2 linked regions of the Arabidopsis thaliana genome follow. The protein of the gene in region 2 purifies or fractionates together with the protein of the main gene of each other region. This does not show direct contact. Each region holds a gene or a part of one and is shown on either strand. Other genes may lie near its edges.

The links. Proteins that work in one complex are often made in the same cells at the same time.
Region 1: the proteins of AT3G58570 (region 2) and HON5 fractionate together in Arabidopsis thaliana (co-fractionation; one large-scale study listed by BioGRID). This does not show direct contact.

Annotation. Positions count from the first base shown.
Region 1 is NC_003070.9:17,973,104-17,978,580, forward strand, and holds HON5 (high mobility group A5), read right to left. Parts: upstream 3,561-5,477; 5' UTR 3,199-3,560; coding exon 2,959-3,198; intron 2,874-2,958; coding exon 1,980-2,873; intron 1,444-1,979; coding exon 1,369-1,443; intron 1,276-1,368; coding exon 1,045-1,275; 3' UTR 539-1,044; downstream 1-538.
Region 2 is NC_003074.8:21,654,913-21,661,315, reverse strand, and holds AT3G58570 (P-loop containing nucleoside triphosphate hydrolases superfamily protein), read right to left. Parts: upstream 4,833-6,403; 5' UTR 4,658-4,832; intron 4,283-4,657; 5' UTR 4,218-4,282; coding exon 3,501-4,217; intron 3,407-3,500; coding exon 3,323-3,406; intron 2,976-3,322; coding exon 2,733-2,975; intron 2,114-2,732; coding exon 1,946-2,113; intron 1,787-1,945; coding exon 1,673-1,786; intron 1,579-1,672; coding exon 964-1,578; 3' UTR 504-963; downstream 1-503. Other genes in the region: AT3G58580 (DNAse I-like superfamily protein), read left to right, coding at 56-206, 302-450.

The sequences.
Region 1 (5,477 bases), on a different chromosome or scaffold from region 2:
TCGCGAGATGGTAAAGGAAGCTTGAAGAATCTGGAGGAAGAAGAAAGAAATTACAAAGAGAAACTTGGCGGAGAAGAAAGATAAGAGAGATAGAGATGGTTTTCGCGGTTAGAAGAAGAAGGTCACCACCATGGGCTAGAGCTTGGAAAGAGTAGAAACGAACGACCGAGAGGTTCAGAATCAGTTGCGTCAACCGATATGGGTCCACCTTTACTCCTTGTTTTTATTTTTATTTATCAACATTTCATTTTTCTTTTTAATTCACAGATTTTTAAAATAAATCACGAATATTAATTTTTTGGTATTATAGTATAACATGCAAATGTGGTGGTGATTTCTTTTTAACTTTTTCAAAAAAAAAAGTTGATTTATAAAACCAAAATCGAAAAATACACTACTTTATTTCAAATTCAAAATTTTTTTGGAGAAAAGTATTGAAAACTTGTTAAAAAAGTGTTTATCGAGTAATAAATTTAGAAATTTGGTTAAATGGTGTGTGAGTGAAGAGTAAAACCGTTCTATACCTTCTACCTAATTTCTGCAATAAGTACACTTAAAATTAAAACCGGATTTCAAATTAAAACAGAGCAACTGACATAAGCAACTTTTATTTAATGGTTTTCTAACTACATAACGTAAGAGACTTGAAGAAACCATCATAAAAAGTAGAAGTGGTCATAAAAATTACATAAGCGTTTTTGATAAACATCAACAACAACTCCTAAAAAGCCTAAGGAGACAAAATAGAATAAGAGACACAACAGTCTAAAAAAAACACGAGGGAACAAAGAACAAAGCTGCCTACACAGATATGGACGATGGAGAGAGATGGGAAGCATGAACAATGGTAACATCCTAATTCACTTTACAGACATTACCCTACCTCTCCTTGTTGTTTGGTTAGAGACACAATCATCATCATCAGTTCATCACATTGTTCTTTTTGTTTTTCTCCTGCAAACACCCTTATAAGATTAAAAATTTCATGTAACACACAACAAGTAAACCCACCACTTGCTAGCTTTTTATGTCAAGGCTTTATCTTTAGAACAGAGCTTCTTGCATTGCCTCTGCTTCTGTCTGTCCTTGACCCTCTGCTTCTGGTTCGGTTTCAAGGTGTTCCTCGTCTGGCAGCTGCACTTCTTCCATGTGCTTTGGCTCGTTTGTTGTCTCTGCTATCCCTTCCAGGTCCTGTATGGCTTGAACCACTGCTTGATTTCCACTTCCTCCTATCTCGGATTTCAACACAATTACAATATCCTTAGCTCTCGCTTGCTGCATAAATGAGATATCAAAACCAAGCATAAGCAATTAAGTATCAAAACCAAGGACGGACCATATTGTGTTTCTGTTCATTAGATTACTTACAAACAACTCAAACTTCTTCTTCAGTTCTCCATAGTCACCATCTTGTCGTCCAGAAGCTCCCACTGACACCGCATTCTATGTTTATAAATGGCAATAATATAAATGTAATTAGATAACTAACTCATCAATATAATAGACAAAGAAATTCTAGTGGACTTGGAAATACACAAACTCTTGAACTTTGACTGAATTAACTAAATTTCTGCTTAAAACAGACAAAACTTGATAAGATGTCTGTCTCAAAAGATAAGTTCATATGTAATTCTCACACTTCAACTGAACAATTATTGGTTGCTAAAGCGAGCCACCTACCAAGTTGCTCTTGATTACCAAACAAAGAGATATCTTAGATTAATAGTACACCACAAAACCAGATTAAGTATAGGCCAAAAGCAGAGACACGAATATAAATTAAACTCTAGAATTTATTTAGTTAGATACTCTCTAGTCTCCACACACACGCTCGAAAGAGACAATGTTGAGAATGGAAAGTGACATTTATTCACAAGACAAAAGTTCCAACTTTTATTCTCTTATCTATTTGACTAGAAATATTCAAGTTCTCTATAATCACTGTGTAATCGCAGAGACAAAAAGGAATGATATTTTACCTTTCTGGGTCTTCCTACGGGTTTTCCAGTACGAGCAAAGCTTCTCATCGGCTTCATAGGCTTCCTGATAACACCTCCAATCTTAGGAGGCCGTCCTCTTCCTCGTTTCTTGACTGCAACCTCCTCTCCTCCACTCTCTACGTTAGTTGGTGGTGGTGGTGGTGGAGCAACAGAGGAAGCACCACCAGCGTCAACTCTCTTTGGTCTCCCTCGGCGTCTAACACCACCATTAGCAACATACGGGAACACTGAAGCTGGAGCTGAGACTACTATAGGCTTTCTCTCCCTCCCAGCAGCTCTTCCACTCGGAGGTCTACCTCTTCGTTTCACAGTCTCCACACCACCGGAAACAGAAGCAGCTGGCTTCACCGTCGGCGAAGTTCCATCTTTTCTAGGACGACCCGGCGGTCTCTTAACCGGCTGCTGTGGCTGTAACGGTAACTGTGGCGGCTGTATCTGTATCTCCTCTGGTCGAGAGACAGGTAATTCACTCTGTTCCCAGGTGAGTTTTCCATTAGTCAGAGGTTGAGGTTGAACAACATCTGGTTTAGCTTTTGGAGGTCGACCACGACCACGTTTAATAGTCTGAGGAGTAGAAGAAGCCAAAACCGGATCAGGTAAAGGTTGGTTCTCGTTGACTATGAAATCAGATCTGGGAGGTTCAAGACTAGGAGCTACACTAGTAGGAGGAGGAGGAGGAGGAGTAGAAGCAAGCTTGTAAGATTTCTTAACCATGACAAGAATCCCACTGGTCTTCAAAGTCTTGAGATGGTGTGTCAACAAAGCTCCATGAGCAGTAGGAATCCCAGTGTAAATTCTCTCTATGTACCTCGAAATAGCTTGCTTGCTTGACCCATCTGGTTCGTTTAACGCTGCAATCGCCGTGCAAATCATCTAATCAACGAAAAAAAAAAGTGAGTGGAAATTAAAAACCCTAACTTTAAAGTCAAAATGTAAGAATGAGCTAAGAAGAGCTTACGTCAGAGTAAGGAGGGTGGGAAATAGATGGATGAGGAGGAACTGGAGATGTTTGTGGCTGCTGCGGAGGAGCTGCTTGATAGAGATGGATGTTGTTTGGCGGCGCGACGGCGGTGGGTCCGGTGAAGAAGGGGTGGTTTGGAGAGGCGAAGGGGTTGGTGTTGGTGAAAGGAGGGAAAGATGTGAACTGAGGAGGAGGAGGATGATGAGGATCATTGGTTGCAGAGAGAGAAGGATCCATGGAGGATTTAGTGAGAGAGAAAAAATACAGAGCAAGGAAGGTGATGAGATTTTTGATTTTTAGTTTTTTTTTTTTGTTTCGGTTGTTTTAATTTTTCAGATAAAATTAAAAAAGTTTTGTGGAAGGAGAAGATAAAAAATAAAAAATAGTTAGGTTGGAGGAGAGAGAGTGTGTGTAGTAGTGTAAGAGAGAGATCGAAAATGACGACAGATGAGATAGTTAAAATCTGACCGTTGAAAGTGTATTTTGGTGCTGATTTACGACACGGATCGATGACGTGGCGTTTTTTGCTTTTGTTATTAAAATTGAGTTTTGTGTTTCTTTCAATTTTTTTTATATGTTTTTCTGCTTCTCTATTCAAGTACCATATTAAACTATATGTAAACATTTTTTTTCTAATTCTGAAAGTTTTTAAACATGCTTTCATTTCTTTATACTAATAAATTTCTAGAACAAGATTTTTTATACTAAATTCTCTACTTAATATCGGTTTACAAAAAAAAATGTATATTTCTAACCAATCAGTTTTTCATATTCTTTATGTTTTAACATTTACTTGGATTATATGATGTGCACTAACACCTTCTTCATTTTCTTGATCACTATCTCACTCTAATTCAAAAAAAAGAAAAAGAAAATCTCCAACAGTTAAAAAGTGCTATTATAAACACGTTAATACTGTTTTAGGTAAAATAAAACTCAAATTTTAATTCACTTTTTGTTTTAAATTTTTAATAGCTAATTTTATTGACTTTTTGAAATAAGACACTTCGTTAAGTTGCTTAACGAAATAAATTTACAACGCTAAATTTTCATCGAGATTCTTTGTTAAACTACGCAAAATGACACTAATATGATTTAAAAAAATTAAGCTCAGAAAATATATTTGAACTCCTTATTCATTTTTCAATCCATATATACATAACCAATAAAGGTAAGTTGAATTTTTTCACACCACAAACATTCAAATTTATATTCTTTAATATAAACTTTCTAAAATAAAAAGTTTAGATTTAAATCACCATAGTCTAATTGGGTTACTCTCTCGTCATGGCTGATTTAAATTCTCTTGTATAGCCTTTTCATTTTGTGTTTCTTTCAACTTTTTGTTTTGTTATTCTAATTCTCTATTCATGTACCATAATAAATTATATATAAACAATTTTCTTATCTAATTTTGAAAGTTTTCAAAAAAGTTTTCATTTTTTATATTTAAAATTTTTCTAGAATAAGATTTATAATTTCATTATCTACATTTATAACAAATCATTTTTTCATATTCTTAATGTTTTAACATTTATTTGGATTATGATGAACATTAACACCATCTCATACTATGTCCTCGTAAATGGCACTTCCTATGAAAATTGGAAGCTTTCATGGAGAATTCGACAAAAGCGATGATTTGTCTTCATATATTTTTATTCTATGTGCAGAGATTTTAAGTCAACTGATCATCAAAGTTGAAACAAATGGTGGCATCGAGAGCATACGCATCGCTCAGTCTGTTCCTACGGTTAATCATTTCTTATTCGCCGATGATTATTTGTGTTTTTGCAAAGTTGCAAAACAAAAACTACTGGTTACAGTATATATATATATATATATATATATATGTGTGTGCCAATTATTATAAGTGTTCAACTCAAAAGGTTAACTATGAGACATTCTTAATAATATTTGAATAAAACGCATATTCATAGAATCCTAGAGATAACAAAAATTGGAGGAGGAAACAAATATTTGAGTTTACTAGAGCAATTTGGAAGAAAACAAACGAATTATTTGAGTTTGTGCAGAATAAGCATGACATCTAAAGGGCCAAGTCTCTATTCTTCACTTGAGATTACGCTAATTGGAGATGTTCAGGGATTCTATGGACTGCTCTATTCAGCCTAACGAATGATCTTAAGTCCAAATCTCAATAACTCCAAATCATTCTGTTACATATATCCGACTTCTACCTTTTGGGATGGTTTGGCGCATCTGGAAATTGAAAAACGATATAATAATGTTTAACCATAAATATTATCAATCTCATAGGTCTACAATGTAACAATGATGTCCACAAATGGATAAATGCCCAAGCTGACTAAAGTCAACAAATGCAACCAGGTCCACCACAACACAAAAATTTGGGCCGAATGTATCATTGATAGCAAGTTGAGAAACCTCTAAACAATGAATATAAGCAAGACACTACTTGGTGAACAAGTATATTACCTTTTAATAAGTAACTAAACAATATTAGCCTTAAATTCCTCAAACTCAATAACCAT
Region 2 (6,403 bases):
TATACCGCTTATCTTTGCGTCTCTCTTGGATATTTGATAAATGAATTGGTTTCAGGTGAGCGCGTACTCATCGTTTGTGAGAAAGGGAATAATGGGTCTTGGATTGGAACAACACAGAAGGAGAATAGATCTTAATACAAACGAGCCTTTGTTTACCAATTGTACAAGGGACTTCATCGGCACTCATGACTACATATTCTACACAGGTTTCACCATTTTTAACTCCATTGTCCTTGTTTTCAACTACATCAGAAATAACAAGTTAACTTAATTGGAAGATTTTTTTGTGTTTGGGTTTCAGCGGATACATTAATGGTGGAATCTCTATTGGAATTACTGGATGAAGATGGATTAAGAAAAGACACAGCTCTTCCTTCCCCAGAATGGTCTTCTAATCACATTGCTCTCTTAGCTGAATTTCGATGCACGCCTAGGACAAGACGCGGTTAACCGCCTTCACCACCCACCATCATTTGCTTACAGATAGGTTTTTTTTTTTTGTTCCGATCTTCTTCTTTGATCAGACTATGACATCAACTGTTTAGACGAAACCTTTACCAAATCTGTGATAGAGATGACACAAAGATTCAAAGGGATTCTGAGTAAGGCAAACCACTCTATGAAGTTGGTCATTCTTTATTATGACCCCTGTGTGGCTCTGTCTAAACCTCCTTTTATATCTCATTTTGATCCTCAATATAGTGAAAACCCTTTGACTTTTCTTTTCCTTGGATCAATTTTAATGTTTGAACTGCTTTGTATGACTAAATAGCTCATGAGAATAATATGGGTCTACTAGGGGGTTTTCTTTTTTCACATTGAACAAAGAGACGATTCGTGTCTACTACATAACCATTTAAAGAGCAAACATACACATCTGTGGCTGCTCCCTAATAATAAACAATAGAGATAAGTGAGAGAGAAAGAGAACATAATCGGTTCTTGAAGAATTGAAGTTAAAGCTTAGTCCCACGCACTAGCCACTCCAGGACCATACCCTTGGTTAGGAACGGTTCCATATCCTCCAGGACCATAGTAAGCACCACCACCTCTACCATAAGGTGCATAACCACCACCCGGAACATTTCCATATCCACCACCTGGTACGGGTCCGTACCCACCAGGCATTGCTCCATAGCCACCACCAGGAACGCCTCCATATCCACCACCTCCACCATAGTAGTCAGCACCACCACCGCCTCGACTAAAAGATTCTCTCCTGAAGTCACGACCACCAAACCGTCCACCAGACCGCCGGTTCTTACCACCTCCAAATGAAGCACGAGATGCGTATCGAGTCAGCCAGTCAGGGACCTCCTGGTTAGCTTCTTGCATTAGCTCAGCCAGTGGCTTGGCCATTGTTGTGTTGTTGTCATTGAAGAAAGCAGTTGCTAGTCCTGAATTTCCTGCACGTCCTGTTCGTCCGATACGGTGGACATAGTCATCAATGTCGTTTGGTAGATCAAAGTTCACTACATGAGCCACGTGCGGAATGTCAAGACCACGTGCTGCCACATCGGTTGCAACCAAAATAGGTGTCCGCCCAGTCTTGAATGATCTCAGTGCCACTTCTCTTTCCTTGTATGCATAAAAAATACAATAAGGTTTTAGCTTTGGTTGCACTGAAGAATACTCTACAATATCCTAATTTTGATATCAACAACTCACTAACCTGTTGTGACCTATCACCATGAATGGTCGTTGCTGGGAAACCATTGATGCACAACCAATTCTCCAAAGAGTCAGCTCCCTTCTTTGTCTCCACAAAAACTAGAGTCAAAGCTTGCTGTAGAATAAAATAAATTGGATTGTAAAGGTGCTCTTGAACAACAATGCATCAAATAGAACAAAGAGACAATGAAACAGAATCGTGAAACCGAAAGGAGCAATAGTACTGACTATGTTCACTTTTAACCATGAAACCAATCATATTGATTTAAATTACCTTTCCTTGGTTACCATTCTCCCTCTGGGCATGAAGAAGGTCCATTAGATGGCTTCTTTTGTCAGAATCATGAACAAACTCTACTCTTTGGACAATTAAATCCGTACTTGAACCCACTCTTCCAACAGCCAGAAATATGTAATTTGAAAGAAAATCAGATGCAAGTCTCTGCACACAAAAACAAAATCATAATTAAGTGCATATGGAATGTAAAAGATTCCTTTGCTGCACAGTACGCAACTTCTATCTTGTAATTTTAAGAGCCAAAATTTTGGTAGTGTCAACTTAAACAATAAACATTATTTAGACAACGAATTGAACCCTCCAGTAATAAAGGAAAACAAGATTATGTACCGATCATCCTTCTCATTTCCCAGACCTACCAAATCTCACTCTTTTCTTCAGTTATAGAACAATCACGGACCTACAACAAGCAGCTACCCTTAGTTCCCTCTTACTCCCAAGTATATTAAATTTCATTGAAATGAATCGCTATCTTGTTCTTTCATATCACTAACATAAGAACCGCTATATTCTTCCTCACTCCATGCAAATATCAGATCATTTACACAAGTTAAGGATAAGTGCTCGGTCAGATTTATCCAAGTTGATTTAAAAGATAATAATTCTCAGAACAATTGTACTGGAGACCCAAAAGACCCAAATAACGTAGTCCCATAACAATGAAGACACTAACAGAGCAAGAAAGACTGAAGATAGAGATAGCTGAGAATCTTCTCCGGTAAGGAGAAAACATAGAAATGGCATGTGAACGAGTTCCACAAACCTGTATCTCCCTAGGAAATGTAGCACTGAACAACATTGTCTGCCGGACACCAGGAGGAGGCATGTCCATCTGCTGAACGATCTTCCTGATTTGTGGTTCAAAACCCATGTCCAGCATTCTGTCCGCCTCATCAAGTGCCAAGAATCTTACCATCTGTAATGAGACTCTACCTCTCTCAAGCAAATCATTTAATCTCCCAGGAGTTGCAACAAGAATATCAACTCCTCTTTCAAGCTCCCTAATCTGTACAACAGCAAAACAAGAACAAATTAGCAAGAGCACTAGACTTACTATCATGAAATGTAGCTGATTCCTGCAGCTTTTCATCTTAAGGACACAATTGTTCATTATTATAAACCCACATATACAGGAGAGGAGTAATGGTATGTTACAGAGCAAAGAACAGCCAGGACATTTCATCATCCAAACTAAGAGCTAAAGCAACTGTCAGAACAAAATTTAACAAGGCGCACCAAAAAACTAAAGTATAATTACAGCCTGGAAAAGCACAAGTAATCTCTCTCTCACACACATACACAAGAGTCTATAAGGCGTGGAAAATGAAGCATTTATAAAACAGTAACAGAAACCTGTTGGTTGACTGGTGTTCCTCCGTAAGCAACCACAACTTTCACTCCAGTTTGATAGGAGAACTTTCTGGCTTCATCATGTATCTGCAGAAAAATCATAAAAGAGATGTCTTTTCATGAAATCTTCATGTGATCAACAAATGCATATAAACTATGATATTATACCAGTTATTCAGACCTGGCAAGCCAATTCCCTTGTTGGTGAGAGAATGACAGCAAGAGGATAGACTCCCCGAACTCCACGTGGTCTCTCTATATGCTGATCCTTCATAATCCCACTAATAATCGGAAAACAAAAGGCAGCTGTCTTCCCAGAGCCTGTCTGAGCACAAGCCATCAAATCCCTTCCTGCAGCCAATATGGGAATTGCATTACGCTGCACAGGGGTCGGCTTCACGTATTTGCACCTCTGGATATTTAGATTGAGAGCTTCTCCGAGGTCTATCTCTGCAAATGTATTAACAGGAGGTGGCACATTATCCCCACTTGTCTCGATGGGAATATCTTCATAGGCCTCAAAGTTAATGACAGTGTTTTCCTGCTCGTTAACAGCCGGGTCTGCATTTCCATCATTACCAAACGGGTTAGTTTCAGTATCCCGACGGTCCCAACCTCCACTTCTGGCATTCCAACCGCCCACAGGACCTCCTCTACCACCATAGCCCGAACCTCGACCACCATAACCTTGGCCTCGACCACCATAACCACTATTTGCACCACCATATCCCCCACGATCATTATTACCAGGTGAAGGAGCAACAAACTCCGAAGATGGTGTACGGCTCCTAAGATGTGGAGGAACATAGTTGGTTCGAGACGGACGAGAATAACCCCAACCACCACCAGATGGTGCCCTCTCTGATTCAGAAACATCAGCCCATGAATTTGAACTCATAGTTGCTTAGCTTTACCAGAATCCTTCAAAGTATTGGTCTTCAATTTTGAGTTTGATCAAAGCCCCTGGATATCGTAATAAATATCAGTTCGAACAAGTTCGTTTTCCATAAATAAGTTGCAGCTATGCATGTAAGAAATGAGAGAAAGAGTCAACAAATCCAAATACTAAAAATGAAGAACAAATGCAAATCGATTCGAGAGAAGTAGTTATCTGTAGAAGAATCTTCAAAAAACCTCAGCTAATCGAATAATCTAAGAAATAGAAACGACTCGTAGTAACAAAACAAAATCACGATGAAGTAACACAAAGCTGAGAAGAATCGTTCCCTAAAACGAACAAATGCACAAATCATTAAACCCTAGAAGCAAAATGAAATCGAACAGGACATCGCTGCATAGATTTAACGACACCATGCACAGAGAGATATGAAGCCAGACCTTAAGAAACTCGACTAGAAGAAAAATCTTAGATCAACGATCAATGGTGTTCGAAAAAGCTTGAGGATATAAACCCTAATTTTCCCTTGTTCTCGCGATCGCACACGAAGCAAATGAAACAAAGGTTTCTGGGAAATGAGCAAAAGAGAAAAGATGAAGAGATATTTGTATTTCGATGAACTTTATTAATTTCCAAAAGCCTTTCTCGTTTTTTTATTTTATTAATTTTCAGATTGTTTGCCGTTTTCCAACAACGAAAAGCGTGCCGGCGTTGCTATAACGAAGTGAACTGTGTGTCGTCATAAATTAACATAGCGCGTGATAAACACGAAGAGCAAGGATTGGATAGAGACGAATATTTATTGTGGTCTGGACAAAAGTAATTACTGACAAATTTAGATATTAATTGCCAGCAAAAGTATTTACATACCAACTTATTTTAAACAAATGTCATAAATATGAGTCTGTACTTTCATTTCCATTGAAAATCATAATTTTCTAAATATCTATATTATTATATTATCTGTCTCTACCTAATTTGAATATTACAATGAAAATTTGTAAAAAATAAAATATTTTTGACATCATACATATATTTCAAAAAAATATTGTCAGCTAACTCAACAATTGGCCACAAATGCAAGTAAACTAAAAAACATACAACTACTTAACATATATGGATTGTATGATTATACAAGTCGTCAACATCATAAACATATAATCTCGGGTTAAATGGTCGACCAACTCCAGCGTTGATCAGCATTGACCAACAAAATATTCAAAACTAATTATTAGTATTAAAAAAATTAATGTTATTTGATATTGTAAAATACAAAAAAATATATTTATATCCAATATAAATATATTTTGTATATATATATAATGCATTAATTCATATAATATTTACTTTATTTTTTCAATTTCAAAACTAAACTAAGAGAATAAATATTTTTTTAAGATATGAACTATTCATAATAATAATAATAATAGTTAGTTTCTTAAGAAGTTAAATTTTTAATTGCTAAATATTTTTAATCAATAGTTAGTTTTTTCTTATATTATTCGTAAAAAACATTTACTTTGAATTTAAAAATTACCGTGCAAAATTTAGACTAAAAAGTTATATACTCAATTGTTTTTCATATTACTTTCTTATGAAACTTATATAGTCATGTGTATTTGGTTCTGTAATGATTTATTTTCTAATGAATAAAGAAGTTTATATATTTTAATTGATAATACAAAAAAAAGATTCTTTCACTCATATGTTTCTAATAAGATTTTTCTGGTTTTAATTTCAGTTTTTTTTTTGTTTTAAAAATTTTAATCATTTTTTTCATTTTTAGTTTAGTTTTGAAATTAAAAAAAGCTAAATATTTTAAGAATCAATGTATTAAATATATATGCAAAATATTTTTATAGTAGATGTAAAAATTGTTTTTTGATTATAGAATAACTAGTAAAACTAGATTTTTAATATTAAAAATAAAGTAAAAATTTATTTTTGAATATTTTTGTTGGTTAACACCGGTTGACGTTAGAGTTAATTGGTTATTTAACATGAAATTTTATATTTATAATGTTAACTATATAATATTATATACTTGGTTATGCAATCTATATACATCATTTAATTAAGTGTTATTTAGTTTAGTTGACATATATAGTTTGTACTGTATTATATTTTCCGTAAGTTTCAATCTTTTTTATTATAAATAGGTGAATATATGTGTATATAGAAAAAAG